Linked DNA regions of Pelodiscus sinensis. The protein of the gene in region 1 interacts with the protein of each later gene in a biochemical or structural test. Links are inferred from orthologs where the notes say so. Each region holds a gene or a part of one and is shown on either strand. Other genes may lie near its edges.

The links.
Region 2: the proteins of CFLAR (region 1) and DEDD2 form a complex in vitro, tested with the Homo sapiens proteins (2 studies listed by BioGRID). The link is inferred for Pelodiscus sinensis from reciprocal best matches to the Homo sapiens genes CFLAR and DEDD2.

Annotation. Positions count from the first base shown.
Region 1 is NC_134717.1:73,715,106-73,722,691, forward strand, and holds the start of CFLAR (CASP8 and FADD-like apoptosis regulator), read left to right. Parts: upstream 1-4,586; 5' UTR 4,587-4,857; intron 4,858-7,586. UniProt on the Homo sapiens protein: Apoptosis regulator protein which may function as a crucial link between cell survival and cell death pathways in mammalian cells. Acts as an inhibitor of TNFRSF6 mediated apoptosis.
Region 2 is NW_027465888.1:149,791-157,752, reverse strand, and holds the start of DEDD2 (DNA-binding death effector domain-containing protein 2), read left to right. Parts: upstream 1-4,950; 5' UTR 4,951-5,106; intron 5,107-7,144; 5' UTR 7,145-7,333; coding exon 7,334-7,802; intron 7,803-7,929; coding exon 7,930-7,962. Other genes in the region: zinc finger protein 526-like, read right to left, coding at 1-1,820. UniProt on the Homo sapiens protein: May play a critical role in death receptor-induced apoptosis and may target CASP8 and CASP10 to the nucleus. May regulate degradation of intermediate filaments during apoptosis.

The sequences.
Region 1 (7,586 bases):
CAGTGTGTTGTGGGCAGATTCCCCACTGAGCGAATAGTGGGGGACAGCCCACCACTAACAAGGCCCTGAGCTGGGAACTGGAGGAGAGAGGAGGATCCAGGTCCACCATCCTTTGGGGCTGTTACCTGGTGTGATCATACCACTGAGCTCACTTACTGTCCTCTGGGATTCACCATCCTGTCTTGATTGGCCATAAGTTTTGGTCTTCCCTAATGAAAGCACAGAGCTGGGTTAACAGCTCCCTAGCCAAACACCACAGATGCTGAATCAGCTCAGCTTTTGGGGAGGGGGCTCAGCTATAGGGCCTTGACAGCGTAGAGGAGTCCTGCCCTCAAAAGGGACCAAACCCCCAAATATTTCCATCTTGCTCTGTATAAAAGTTTTGCACACACAAAACTAATCAGATTCACTCTTATCAATGAAAGAGAGAAATGCACATGTAATGTCAACTGGCAGAACCAAGCCTGGGACCTCTGGAGCTTAGTGCATAAGCCTCTACAGCTGAGCAAAAAGTCGGCAGGCTCTCAGCAAAGGCTGTAGAACAAACTCATTTTCTCTGTAAGTGCCACTACATGGGACAATAAACCACACCCAGTAGATGTGTAGGTTACACATAACTGTGGCTATCCTCCCAGGTAACAATTATTTACACGGGGCTTTATAATAAATAAAAGCATTTTCATTAAGTATAAAAAGTAGGATTTAAGTGATAACAGATGGCTCAAAGTAAGTAACTAAGCAAAAGATAAAACAAAACAAGTCAGTTAAACCTCAATCACTAAGAAACTTGTTACATGCAAATGCTCATCCTACCAGTAGTTCTAATCATCTTTCTCATAAGCTAGGCAGCCTCCTACTTTGGGCCTGATTCTTCTCCTTGTTCAGTCTTAGGCTATGTATACACTGACAGGTGTAGAGCTCTGGCAGTTACAGAGCTGCTCACAGAGTGTTGTAGGGAAACCGCTGTCGTGTGTCCACATTGTGCTCCTTATGATGGTGGAACATGTCCACATTAGCAGCTCTTGCAATGCCACAGAGAGCAGTGTACTGTGGGAAGGCTTTGCAGTGCCTCATGGGGCAGTCAGCATAATTGCAGTTTTCCCAATCCCATTGCTCCGTGGTCATCCATGGACAGCAGCTTTTCAACAAATCCAGGGAGAGGTGAGAGTGTGTATGTATGTGGAGAGGCGGGAGATCATGTGTTTTGGAGGATGTCAGCATGCTGTCTTGTAAGTTCAGAGAGCAGGACAACCTGTCCTGAGGGAGCTTGGGGTAAGGAATTAGGGTGAAGGAGGGGGTGTGAGGTCTGGGGGAGGTTTGCCACTGACATCTCAGCTTCCCCTTCTTCCTGCCTGGCTCTTTGCACAGCAAGCTCTCTCTTTTTCCCCTTCTCTCTCACACACAGCTGCCTGTCTCTGTTTTCAACAGCAGGAGCATTCCACCTGAATGGTCTGCTCTATGTCCTAGAGCAAATCAGCACAGCATGCAGGCTGTCAGAAACAGCTCTGAAAGGGGAGATGCACATGCCTTTAGGGCAGACAGCTGAGTTCAAAACAAGAAACAGAGGGAAACTTGAGGGATTATGAGCCATTTCTGGAGGCCAATCAAAATGCAGCAAACAATTTAAGTGTCCACAAAGGCACCCCAGTGCTGCATCCAGAGTGCAGCAAGAACTGTGGAGTTAGTGTAGACTTGGCCTTAGATGTTTCAAGCAGGCATCTTGGGTGGTAAGTGGTGGTCTCCTGGCATCTGTAGGTTGTCAATGATGCACTGGAGGGGTTTAATCTGGGGGCTGTAGGTAATGAAAACTGGTGTTCTATTATTTTCCTTGTTGGGCCTGTCTTGAAGAAGCAGGTTTTAACCCCTCTAGCACATTATTGACAATTTACAAACAATCCTCACTCTTAAGAGGCCTTGGGAGACAGGTCAGTCCTCACCAACGGACAACCCCCTAACAAAGCAAATTCTTTCCAGCAGCCACACATCACACCTCAGACTTACTCATCTCAGGAATCTACTCCTGCAACAAACCCCATTGTCAACTCTGTTCACATATCTATACAAGTGACACTATCACGGGACCTACCCACGTACGTCACAACATCAGGGGATCATACAACTGCACATCCTCTAATGTGATACAGGCTATCAAGTGGCAGCAATGCTCCTCTGCCATGTATATTGGCCAAACTGGATAGTCCCTATGACAAAAGATAAATGGACACAAGTCAGACATCAGAAATGGTAACATACAGAAACCTGTAGGGGAACATTTTAAACTGCCTGGACACTCAGTCATGGATTTAAAAGTATCCATTCTTCTGCAAAGGAATTTCATCAGCCAATTACAGAGAGAGAGAGAGTGCCGAATTGACATTCATCTGCAAATGTGACAGTTTCCCTGGGCTTGAACAAAAACATTAACTGGATGTTGCATTATAAAGCTAGCCTTCCCCACATTTAACACCTCATTTACATCAAAAGCTGAGTATGGATCACTTCCAGCCCACTCAATTAGCCTCATTAGCAGGGGTCCTACAATTGACAGATACCTTTGTCCCCCCACCCCCACCCCCTCTTTTTCTGTTATAAATTCTGGGTTCCTGTTATTTCCACTCCAGCTCATCTGATGAAGTGGGTTTTGCCCATGAAAGATCACAATACTATATATACTTTCGTTAGTTTCTAAGATGCCACAGGATTACTCATTCAGTTACAGACTAACACAGCTACTCTGAAATATATAGAGGTGAGAAATAACAGACCTTGACCCTATTGTCCCTCTGCAAATGTGTGTACACAGAGTCAGTCCCTTACCTCTCTCTCAAACTGCCAAGTTTCAAAAAGTGCAATGAATAAAAGATTGTTGGGGAGCGGAATAGATCTGGACAAGAAGAAAAAGTCTGGAGATAAATGTGAGAAGGGAAGGACAGGCAAAAGAAACAAAAGTGAATCTGATGAAGCAGCATATTACAGAAGTCTTGAGGTCTTTCTGAGTAGCTCACATTGATCTGAGATCTACTATACCATTCGCACTGGCCTCCAGCATTGGTTAGCCAACGATTTCCATCCCAGCAAAGCACAGCGTTCACAGGCCAGTAGTGGTACCACAACATGTACGAGAGTCCCTTCAGTGGTGGACCAAGCTGAGCAATCTTCTCACGGGCATCCCATTTCATCGCCCACAACCCACAAGACAAATAACCACCGATGCGTCCCTTACAGGCAGCGGAGCACACATGAACAACCTGACGATCCAAGGGCGCTGGTCGACACAAGAAATGCTGTTGCATAGCAATGTGCTCAAGCTACGGGCGGTACGACATGCTTGGGAACATTTTTAGTCCCAGATACGGAATACAATTACCAGAATCCTGACGGACATCATGGCAACCATGTTTTATATCAACAGGCAGGGAGGCGCCCGATCCCGTTCTCTCTGTGCGGAGAGTGGCATGGGAGTCAGCCTGCTTCCTCTCACCCCTGTTGTGTGTGTGTCAGATGCCTGCGATGTGCAGGTTAATCGAGTCCAGGCTTATGGGATAACTTTGTACATGTTAACATCCCCGCTCAGCTTCCAGCTTCTCTGCCCTGACTCCTGAGCCCCCATCTCCTAACCCTCTGCCCTGACTCCTGAGCCCCCATCTCCTAACCCTCTGCCCTGAGCCCCCATCTCCTAACCCTCTGCCCTGACTCCTGAGCCCCCATCTCCTAACCCTCTGCCCTGAGCCCCCATCTCCTAACCCTCTGCCCTGACTCCTGAGCCCCCATCTCCTAACCCTCTGTCCTGAACCCCCATCTCCTAACCCTCTGCCCTGAGCCCCCATCTCCTAACCCTCTGCCCTGACTCCTGAGCCCCCATCTCCTAACCCTCTGCCCTGAGCCCCCATCTCCTAACCCTCTGCCCTGAGTCCTGAGCCCCCATCTCCTAACCCTCTGCCCTGAGCCCCCATCTCCTAACCCTCTGCCCTGAGTCCTGAGCCCCCATCTCCTAACCCTCTGCCCTGAGCCCCCATCTCCTAACCCTCTGCCCTGACTCCTGAGCCCCCATCTCCTAACCCTCTGCCCTGACTCCTGAGCCCCCATCTCCTAACCCTCTGCCCTGACTCCTGAGCCCCCATCTCCTAACCCTCTGCCCTGACTCCTGAGCCCCCATCTCCTAACCCTCTGCCCTGACTCCTGAGCCCCCATCTCCTAACCCTCTGCCCTGACTCCTGAGCCCCCATCTCCTAACCCTCTGCCCTGACTCCTGAGCCCCCATCTCCTAACCCTCTGCCCTGAGCCCCCATCTCCTAACCCTCTGCCCTGAGTCCTGAGCCCCCATCTCCTAACCCTCTGCCCTGAGTCCCCCATCTCCTAACCCTCTGCCCTGAGCCCCCATCTCCTAACCCTCTGCCCTGAGTCCTAGCTCCCATTTCCAATGTGGGAAGAAGCCTGATGCCCCAGCTGTGAAATGTGGGGAGAGTTATTGTCCCACATTCTGTATAGTGGGGGGGGGGTCCCCGCATTGTACGAGGTAGAATCTCTGGCCGCAAGCGATGTCCGCGCCCGTGCGCAATGAGCGCAGGGAAGAGCCATTTTGTGCGGAGCAGTGGAGGCAGCAGGACCCCGGAGCAGCCCGGCTCCCGGCTCACGCCCCCCGCGGGGCAAGGACCGAAGAGGCGCAGGGCGGTGCCGAGCTGCCCCAGGGCCAGTGCTTCCCGAGGGCTAAGGCCCGCCCCGTGCTGCGGGGACAAAGGCGCTTGGGCAGCAGCGAGCGGCTGCAGAACCGCGCCCCGCCCCGGCCGCCAGCCAGCCCCGGCCGCTTTCGCTTTCGCGTTGCAGCCTGCTCCGCCGGGACCCGCCGCGCGCAGCTGGGTGCGTAACCTGCCCCTTCCCCGCGGGGCCGGGCTCCGGGGCTCCAAAGCCGCCGCGGCCTGGGAGCCAGCGAGGGGAGGGGCGGCCTTTGTGACCCCCGCTGGTGGAGGGGGGGGGATTCCCGAGGCCCCCCTGGGAGCGGAGCCCCGGCGCTGGAGTGCGGCCCCGCCGTGCGGATGAGCAGCCCCCGCGGGCAGCCTCGCTCCGCAGTGTCGGCGGGCTGCAGACCCACCCAAAGGGCTGCACGAGGCGGGGCGAACTCTCTGGCTGCCCTGGGAAGTGAGCTCGTTCCGCTTTGGCTTTCAAGGGATCAGGGGCCGGTTACGCGACAGCCAGAGAGCGCCCAGGCCTTAGGAGAGCGGCTGCCAAGCAGCCAGCCCCAGGGCCCAGTGCTCCCGAGTCGTAAAAAACAACGTAGAATAGTGATAGAAATGTAGCCGTGTTAGTCTGGGGTAGCTGAAGCAAAATCCGGTGGCTTCCTGGGCTGTATTTTGCCCAGCCCTGATGTACAGAGAGTTGTTTCATATCCACAATGACCATGGTCACGTCAACAAAAATGAGACCCATAATTCAACATCAGCGTAGGTCTTTGGAAAAATGTCTCAGTTCCACAGTGGGTCTGGCCCACGAAAGCTCATCATCTAATAAACCATCTTGTTAGTCTTTAAAGTGCTACATTGTCCTGCATTTTGCTTAAAAAACAATGCAGAGCGTCAGCACACGCTCATGGGCTTTTCCTACTCTGAGAAACTCCTGGTGGGGCACGGAGCGTTTAAAAGCTTATTTAACAAAACATGGACTGGCAAACAGACACAGGGACAGAGGGAGGTGGTTGGAGTCCCCCCAGAAATGTTGCAACAGTATTTCCTAGTCCTGCTTACACGATGACAACAGGCAGGCGGAGCAGACAGGTTGCACAATGTCCATGCTATACGTGGTTGGTATGAGTAAAGCTAGCAGCACTCTGATCAGATCCCTGTAGAACCGTAAAACAGACAGTAAGTATATTGAAGCAAAATGCAGGACAATGTAGCACTTTAAAGACTAACAAGATGGTTTATTAGATGAGCTTTCGTGGGCCAGACCCACTGTGGAACTGAGACATTTTTCCAAAGAAGACCTACACTGATGTTGAATTATGGGTCCCATTTTTGTTGATGTGACGATGGTCATTGTGGATATGAAACAACTCTCTGTACATCAGGGCTGGGCAAAATACAGCCCAGGAAGCCACCGGATCTAGCCTGCGGATGCTGCAGGGAGCCTCAGGCAGGCTCCCCGCTTGCTTTGTCCCACCCGCTCTGAGCCCTGGAGGGGAGGGGAGAGGAGAGGGAAGGGCTTCAATTGCTGCTCCCACCCACAGCACAATCCCATTGTCTGATTTCTGGCCAGATAATTTCACAGATTGACATAATACTGTGTATGAAATGAAAAAATTCTTATAGAAGGTGCCAGGAACAAAAGGACTTTCCCTATTACGGGTCATAACCTTGTTGATCATTGCCAGTAGGAAACATTCAAAGAACTAATAAGAAGCAGGAAAGTTGTTGGCATTAGAGACACCAGTTTATCAGCATACATTCAGTTAGACCCAGATCCCTTGCTGTAGGAGCTTTAGCAAAAATACGAATGCAAGAAGTCATAAGCAGTTACTGCATAAGTAAAATTTCATCAGACACAATTGACAGAATAAAGCAAAAAAGGCACACATGCATAAGGAAGCTGCCAGATCAAATTTACAACATAAGAACAATTCACGATAATCTTTGGATAATATTGTATTCAGTTAATTATTACAATTTAATTACTTTGTGTAAAAAACATAGTGGGGTATTCTTACAATATAGGGCCCTGCCCCTTCTGGGACCACCCTTGACCACTTCAAAAATTATTGCCCACCCCTGGGCAAGGAACGCTGTCAAATCTGACAAGCAGAACATTTATCCTACTTTTAAAAAATATGATAGCTTCCTACCCTGTTTGTCTTTTCTATTCCTCAATCTAAGGTATGAGAAGTGACTTCATAGTAATAAATACCACATTCAATGGGCACCACTGTTATAATGTAGAAGGTTTAGACAATAGTTAAAATGCTTGAAGCCTGAGAACTCTACAGCTGCTATTGATGAATGTCAGGACCCATTTTTGCCAGCGTAGCTGCAACCAGAAATACAAGATTTTCATGTATGAGTTACCAGTGTTTCCTGTGTTCAGAAGCTTTTGGGGTAGTTTATAAACTATCTTATGTTCTGATTTTGCACTAGCTCTCTATGGACTGTGGGGTCTGAAGAGGGTAGCACAACATGGAGGATTAGGGATTAATTAATTCTATGGAGGAAGTAAAACAGCTTTATAAAAACAAACTAATGTATTGATTTTCATTGCTGTTTGATTTGAGGGTGGCTCTTCCTATTTATTCAAGGACCATGAATGGCTGTTGTGGCCTGACAAATATACTTTCTAATCTTTTCAGGTGTACGTCTTTTATTTTTGTCTAGAGACTAATTAGAGTGTGCCCATGTGGACAAAAGTCCGCCCAGAATTTAATTAGAAAATGTGTATGATGCAAGATGGTTTCTCACGAAGGCTTAAGGGGCCAACTTTGAATCTCCCTGTTTGTGTTGTAGCCTGAATTGCAGATTATTGTATTTTACAGCTGACTCCTATCATCCTGTTTTTGACAGAAGGGAAGCTGTGCCTTTGTCGGTCTCTAGAATTGATTTCCCTTT
Region 2 (7,962 bases), on another chromosome or scaffold:
GGGTTGGTGAAGCCCTTGCCGCAGAGGTTGCAGGTGAAGGGGCGCTGGCCGGAGTGCACCAGCTGGTGCAGCGCCAGCTTGGCCAGGGATCCCAGGCACTTGCCGCAGGCCGGGCACGGGTACAGCTTCTTGTGGGCGCACCGGTGCTCCTCCAGCTTGGCCAGGCGGACGAAGAGGGCGCCGCAGTCCGGGCAGCGGTGAGGCTCGCGCCCGGCATGGGCCAGGCGGTGCAGCTCCAGCAGCCGCTTGCGGGCGAAGGAATGGTCACACTCGGGGCACTGGAAGGGCAACCGGCCCGTGTGGCTGACACGGTGCAGGGCCAGCTTGTGGGCCCGGGAGAAGGTGGCACCGCAGTCCTGGCAAGGGAAGGGGCCGGCACCCGAGTGAAGCAGCCGGTGCTGCTGCAGGTTGGAGGACTGGGTGAAGCGCTTCTGGCAGACGTCGCACTGGTAGGGGCGCTCGCCCGTGTGGGTCAGGTGGTGGCGCATCAGGTTGGCCTGGGAGGCGAAGGTCTTGCCGCACTCGGTGCACTGGAAGGGGCGCTCCCCAGTGTGGGTGCGAAGGTGATTCCGCACATGCACCAGCTTCTTGAAGGTTTTGCCGCAGGTGGGGCACTTGTGCTTGCGCTCCAGCACGTGCACCACCCGCTTGTGCCGCACCATGCGGATGTGGCTGGAAAACTCCTTGCCACACTGCGGGCACAGGAAGCCGCCTGCCGCAGGGGGCACCGGCAAGCCGTTCACTGCCCCGGCCGCAGCAGGTGGCTGGGCTGCCTCTTGCTCCGGCACCTGGGTTGGCTCAGGGGCGCGAGCGCGGGGGGGCGGGGCCCCGCTCTTGCCAGCGTGGGTGCGGCGGTGGTAGAGGAACTTGGTCATGTTGCTGAAGGACTTGCCGCAGGCGCAGCGGTGCAGGGGGTTGGCGGTGTGGCTCTTGCGGTGCACCACCAGGGTCATCTCTGTGCCGAAGCCCAGGCCGCAGTCGACGCACAGGTACAGGGCCTCGCCCTTGTGGATGCGCATGTGCTGCTCCAGCGAGGCTGCCTTCTTGAAGACTTTGCTGCAGTTCGGGCACTCGTGCGTGCCGTCCACATGCACGCGCTGGTGAGCCAGCAGGCGATTGGCCGTGGTGAAGCCGCGCTGGCACTCGCCGCACAGGAACTCCTCCGAAGTGTGCTCCCGGCGGTGCCGCCGCAGCTCCTCGGCGCTGCCGAACTCCCGCTTGCACTCACCACAGCGCCAGGCCCGGGGAGGGGGCAGCAGGGGTGGCACCGGCTGCTGCAAGGGGGCGGGGGAGCCGGGGGCCTCCTGTTTGACCCCCTCGGGCGCGGCCGGCTCCCCACTCTCCTTCTCCGTCTCGGTGAAGTGCTCGCCCTGGTGCTCCAGCAGCTCCTCGGGCGTCTGGAAGAGGCTGGCGCACTCTGAGCATTCGTAGGGGTGCATGGCGGGCGGGGGTGGGGCCGGCGGTTCGGGGGGGGTCCTGGCCTCCTGGGGCTTGTGGCTCTGGCGATGGGCCAGCCACAGGTCGGGCGCAGTGAAGAGCTCCTGGCATTCGCTGCACTGGTAGTGGATCTGGCTGGCGGCGGGCGCCGGGCGGGGGTGCAGGCTCTGGTGGGCCAGCAGCTGGTCGGGCGAGAGCAGGACACGGCCGCACTCCAGGCACTGGCAGTGGTTCTCGGGCGGGGGCCCGGCCGGCTGGCAGGGCTCCCCCAGGTGGCTCTGCTGGTGGATCAGCACCTCCTCCAGCGTGTTGTAGAGCAGGCCGCACTCGGAGCACATGTACTGGTGCTGGAAGAAGAGCGACGGGGGCAGCTCCTCTGCCATGGCCTGCGGGAGAGAACCTGTCAGGGGCAGAGTCCAGACCCGGGGGGGGGGGCGCCAGCCCAGGGGGAGAGACAGGGCTGAGCGTGGGGGGGCAGGGCCCAGCCCGGGGGGGGGAGAGGGCTGAGCGGGGGGGCAGGGCCCAGCCCGGGGGGAGGTCGGGGGGGCCCAGCCCGGGGGGAGAGACAGGGCTGAGCGTGGGGGGGCAGGGCTGAGCGGGGGGGGGTAGGGCCCAGCCCGGGGGAGGCAGAGTCCAGACCCGGGGGGGGGGGCAGGGCCCAGCGTGGGGGGGGGGCAGAGTCCAGACCCGGGGGGGGCAGAGTCCAGACCCGGGGGGGGCAGGGCTGAGCGGGGGGGGGGCAGAGTCCAGACCCGGGGGGGGCAGGGCTGAGCGGGGGGGCAGGGCCCAGCCCGGGGGTGTTTCTGGGGGGCTCTGCGGGGAAGGCCCAACGGGGGGTTCTGGGGGCGGGGCCCAGCGCGGTGGATTGTGGGGGAGGGGCCCGGCGCGGGGGGTGTTTCGGGGGGGGCAGGGCCCGTCACTCACCCCGGCTCGGCCACCGCCGCCTCGCTCCGTCTCCTCCCGGCCGGACCCCGCCGCCCCGCGCTTCCTGATTGGTCGCGGGCGTCTGCTCGGCGGGGCCCAATCAGCGGGCTCGATACTGAGGGGGCGGGGCGGCTGCCGTCCCGGGCGGACTGCGGGCGGGAACGAGGCTGCGCGGCGGGGGCGGGGCGACCGGGAGAGGGGCGCGGTCACAGGAAGCCCCGCCCATGATGGATTTCGAGGCGGGGGGGGAGCGCGACCCCGCCCCTCGGGACAGCACACGTGACACCTCCCCTGGGCAGCACAGCCTGCGGGACAACCCACGTGACACCCTGAAATGCCGCGCATGCGCCATAGCCCCGGCTCCCCGCACTCAGGGCCGTGGGGGGGGTCCGTTGACCCCGCCCCCCGCCAGCTGGAGCCTCCTCCCGCCCCCAGCGGGTCAGAGTCTGCGGGGCCCGCCCCCAAACTGGAGGGGCGGGGGGAGGCGCCAGGGTGGGGCTCAGCCAGTGCCGGGGGGAGGGTGCACTGCCCCGTGCAGCCCCTTCGAGCAAGGACACAGGGAGCCCCCCCCCATGGACACGTGCACCAGAGACACAAAGGGAGAGACCCCGCGGGGTGTGAGCTATGGCAGCTGGGCAGTGCTATTGGACACGGGCAGTGGCGCCCCACCAGGAGACACAGGGATAGACCGGCCCTGCTAGGCTGAGCTGGCTAAGGCAAAAGGGAAAGCTGGAGCTTTACAGACTCACAAGGTGGTTTATTAGGTGAGGAGCTTTCGTGGGCCAGACCCACTTCCTCAGATCAAATAGTGGAAGAGAATTGGCAGGACCATAGCTAACAAAGGAATACAATGAAAAAAGTGAACACATTATAAAACTGACAAATCAGATTTAGTACAGAAGGTGAGGGAGAGGGAGGTAGGGAATAGCTATTTGCTAGTCAATGAACGGCTAATCAGGGGTGATAAATGGGGAAACTATCTTGGTAATGGGTAATGTAATTAGCATCTTTGTTAAGGTCCATTCCTAATGTGTCAGATTTAAGCATGAAAGAAAGCTCTGAAGTTTCCCTCTGTAATCTGGTGTGAAAGGCTCTTTGAAGTAAGATGCATGTAGTAAGGTCGTTAAGACTGCAGCCAGGTAGGTTAAAATGAAAAGCAACTGGTTTTTCCTTGTGAAGATGGCTGATGTCTCCCCTCCCCACCCTGTGGCTGTGTCTACACTGGCGTGATCTTGTGCAAAAACTTGCTGCCTGGCTACACTGTCCACTAGTTCTTGCACAAGTAAACTGACTTCTAATGTATGAAATCAGGGCTTCTTGCACCAGAACGCTGACGCGCCCACTCAGGAATAAGCCCTTTTGCACAACTGTTCTTGCACAAGAGGCCAGTATAGACAGGCTACATGAATTTCTTATGCAAGAATGCCCGGTGGTTAAAATGGCCATCGGAGCTTTCTTGTGCAAGGGAACGTCTACACTGGCACGGGTGCTCTTGCGCAAAAGCACATGCCAGTGTAGATGCTCTCTTTTGGGAGAGCTTTTGCACAAGAACTCTTCCACAAAAGAATGCTTGCGCAAGAAGCTGTCAGTGTGGAGGTAAGGTAGCCTGTGTGTTTGGGGGGGGCTGTCATCCTCCCTCCCTGATGTGTGTGCGGGGTGGGGGGGGTCGCTTTCCTCCTCCTCCCTCCCTGATGTGTGTGTGTGTGGGGGGGAACTTTCCTCCTCCTCCCTCCCTGATGTGCGTGTGTGTGGGGGGGGAACTTTCCTCCTCCTCCCTCCCTGATGTGTGTGTGTGGGGGGGGAACTTTCCTCCTCCTCCCTCCCTGATGTGTGTGTTTGGGGGGGGGGACTTTCCTCCTCCTCCCTCCCTGATGTGTGTGCGGGGTGGGGGGGGTCGCTTTCCTCCTCCTCCCTCCCTGATGTGTGTGTGTGTGTGGGGGGGAACTTTCCTCCTCCTCCCTCCCTGATGTGTGTGTGTGGGGGGGGAACTTTCCTCCTCCTCCCTCCCTGATGTGTGTGTGTGTGGGGGGGGAACTTTCCTCCTCCTCCCTCCCTGCTGTGTGTGGGGTGGGGGGGTTTCCTCCTCCCTCCCTGCTGTGTGTGGGGGGGGGTTTCCTCCTCCCTCCCTGCTGTGTGCAGGGCGCCTCCCCGTGCCGAGGCCTTGGGGGGAGGGAACTGACAGGTTTTAATCTACTACGTCAATAGCGTAGCCGCCCCGCCCCCATCCATTGCGACCGCCCCTTTACGCGAGCAGCGCAGCTGCCCATTAGCCTCCCCAGCGCACGCCGGCTGCGCTGCCGCCCCCTTCCGTTAGCAGCGTAGCTGCCTCGCCTTAAACCGTCCTCTTCCCAGGTCTTGGCCCTGCGCATGCGCCAGGCGTGACACCCAGGGCTAGTCAGTCCCGCCCGCACACGTGGGTCACGTGGACACAGAGCGAACGTCCGCGTGCCGGGCGCGATGGGGGAGGGGTCAGTGGGAAAGCTTACGATCGGTGGGCAGTTATTTACACCGATGGGGCAGTGTGCGCATGCGCGAAGGGAGACGCCGAGAGCGGCGCGTGCGCCCCATGCGCGGGGCGGTTTCGACACATGCGCTGGGAGCAGGGACAGGGCGGGACCGGATGTGGAGACGCATGCGCAGGGCGGGGTCGCGGGCGGCAGTTGCTGGGAGGCGCAGGACGCGCATGCGCAGAGGGATCGAAGGTGCCAGAAGAAACCAAGCGGCGGCTGAGGCGGCGAGAGCTGGGTGAGACGGGCGGGCCGAGTTGTGGGGGGAGTCGGACCGGCGGGGGGCGGGGCAGGGCTGGCTACCGTGGGGGGAGGGGCGGTACGGGGGGGGCAGGGGGAGGCTGCGGTTGCCCGTGGGGGAGGGGTGGTACGGGGGGGGCAGGGGGAGGCTGCGGGTGCCCGTGGGGGGAGGGGCGGTACGGGGGGGGCAGGGGGAGGCTGCGGGTGCCCGTGGGGGGAGGGGCGGTACGGGGGGGGCAGGGGGAGGCTGCGGGTGCCCGTGGGGGGAGGGGCGGTACGGGGGGGGGCAGGGGGAGGCTGCGGGTGCCCGTGGGGGGAGGGGCGGTACGGGGGGGGCAGGGGGAGGCTGCGGGTGCCCGTGGGGGGAGGGGCGGTATGGGGGGGGCAGGGGGAGGCTGCGGGTGCCCGTGGGGGAGGGGCGGTATGGGGGGGGCAGGGGGAGGCTGCGGGTGCCCGTGGGGGAGGGGCGGTACGGGGGGGGCAGGGGGAGGCTGCGGGTGCCCGTGGGGGAGGGGCGGTAAGGGGGAGGCAGGGGGAGGCTGCGGGTGCCCGTGGGGGAGGGGCGGTACGGGGGGGGGCAGGGGGAGGCTGCGGGTGCCCGTGGGGGAGGGGCGGTACGGGGGGGGGCAGGGGGAGGCTGCGGGTGCCCGTGGGGGAGGGGCGGTACGGGGGGGCAGGGGGAGGCTGCGGGTGCCCGTGGGGGGGAGGGGTGGTACGGGGGGGCAGGGGGAGGCTGCGGGTGCCCGTGGGGGGAGGGGCGGTACGGGGGGGGCAGGGGGAGGCTGCGGGTGCCCGTGGGGGGAGGGGCGGTTCGGGGGGGGCAGGGGGAGGCTGCGGTTGCCCGTGGGGGGAGGGGCGGTACGGGAGGGGCAGGGGGAGGCTGCGGTTGCCCGTGGGGGAGGGGTGGTACGGGGGGGCAGGGGAGGCTGTGTTTTACCGTGGGGGAGGGGTGGTATGGGGGGGAGGCTGCGGTTGCCCGTGGGGGAGGGTGGCACGGAGGGGCTGTGGAGGGCAGGGTGAGGTGGCTCCCTGTGGGGGGGCGGTGGCGGAGGGCAGGGTGAGGTTGTGGTTGCCTATGGGGGTGGCAGGGTGAGGCCGTGGTTACCTGTGGGAGAGGGGTATGGGGGGCGGGGGAGGGCAGGGTGAGGCTGTAGTTGCCTGTGGGGGAAGGAGTAGCACAGGAGGGGCTGTGGAGGGCAGGGTGAGGTGGCTCCCTGTGGGGAAGGGTGAGGGGGTGGTGGAGGGCAGGGTGAGGCTGTAGTTGCCCATGGGGGGAGGGGTGGTACCAGCAGAGAGGGGGGGGGGGGTCCATAGTTGCCCATGGGGGTTGTTCTAGCTGGGTGCACGGTGGGCTGTGGTCAGGGCTGGTGCGGAAGGAACATCCTCGCTGTGAGGAGGCCTGTAGCCTGGGGGGCAAGGCATGGGCTGTGCGTGGGGAAGTGATACAGGCTGGGGGTGGGAGGGCAAAGTCCTGTTCCTGTGGGGGAGAAGGGCTGGGGGAGATCTGAGGCACCCAGCTGTGCTGGCAGGTCTTGTTGTTTGTTCCAGTCATCTGGTTGCTGCCACCTTGTGGTGCCTTTGCTCCAGGACACCTGCGCAGGGAGCCACCATGTTGTTGCTCAGCCATGAAATCGGGTTTTACTGCACAGGCTCACAGTCCAATGCAGCAAGGGGAGTGGTGCTGCGAGCCAGGGGTGGGGCTCCTAGAATCTGGCCCCAGCTTGGGGAGGGGTGCGAAGGCTAGAGGTTAGGGTGAGGCGCTGGGAGCCAAGATGCCTGGGTTCTGGGCGAGGAGCAGGGCATCAGGATTCCAAAGTTCATGACAGAATTGCAACCCATCACTTACAAATGCAGGACTAGGAAGGGAGCACAAGGGCCCTGGCTCCCTTTTCCCAGCGCTGTGCAGAGTCACTCCTGCCACTGTCTGACCTGACAGTGGATTCTGGTGGCATGTGACTCCTGGGCTTTTCTTGTCCCACTCGACTACACCAAAGTGCTCCTGCTCCAACTGACGGTCTTGTCCTGTCCTTTTGCAGACGCTGTTCAGACGCAAGTGCCTTAGCGAGTGCCCAGAGAGATCTCGTGGTGTAGGAGTCCTTACACATTCTCCATTCAGCCCTAAAACGTGTTAGACCCCAAGTCTCCTCCCAGTCACCTACCCCAAAGCACCTCCTATTCACTGCACTGCCCAAAGCCAGAGCTGATTTGCGGGCGTGTGACCTGGAATGGCTGAAATGAAGCGCCCGGTTGTTTCCCAAAGCTGGGAGGAGGAGGAGTGCTTGGAGTACTACGGCATGGTGTCCTTACACCGCATGTTTGAGGTGATCGGCTCCCAGCTGACTGAGAATGATGTGGCTGTGCTTTCCTTTCTCCTTGATGAGACCCAGCCCTGGACCCATCCCCTGGACCCTGGGCTGTGGGCTGTGGCAGAGGAGAGTGGAGCAGAGACCCCCTCACCTCTTTTAGAGAGCTGGCAAAGGAGGAACCAGCACAGGCGAGCTCCAGTGGAGGCAGCCGGGAGCCTAGAGGTGGTGGCTGAGCGGCACCAGCCCAGGAATGGGGTGGAGCTGCTGCTGGAGCTAGAAAGGAGGGGGAGATGCGACGAGACCAATTTCCTGCAGCTCTTGCAGCTCCTGCGGTTGCTGACCAGGCATGACCTGTTGCCCTACGTCACTTTGAAGAGGCAGCGAACAGGTACCAGGGCTTTGGGGGGCCTGGGGGGGTTGACTCCAGGTTGGGCTTGGGAGGGTGGAGAAGTCTGAGGGGTGCTTGTCCCTGGTGGTGCTGTCCCAAGGGAACTCACCTTTCTTCTCTTCCGTAGTGTCTCCTGAGAGATATACCTACGGCCCATCTG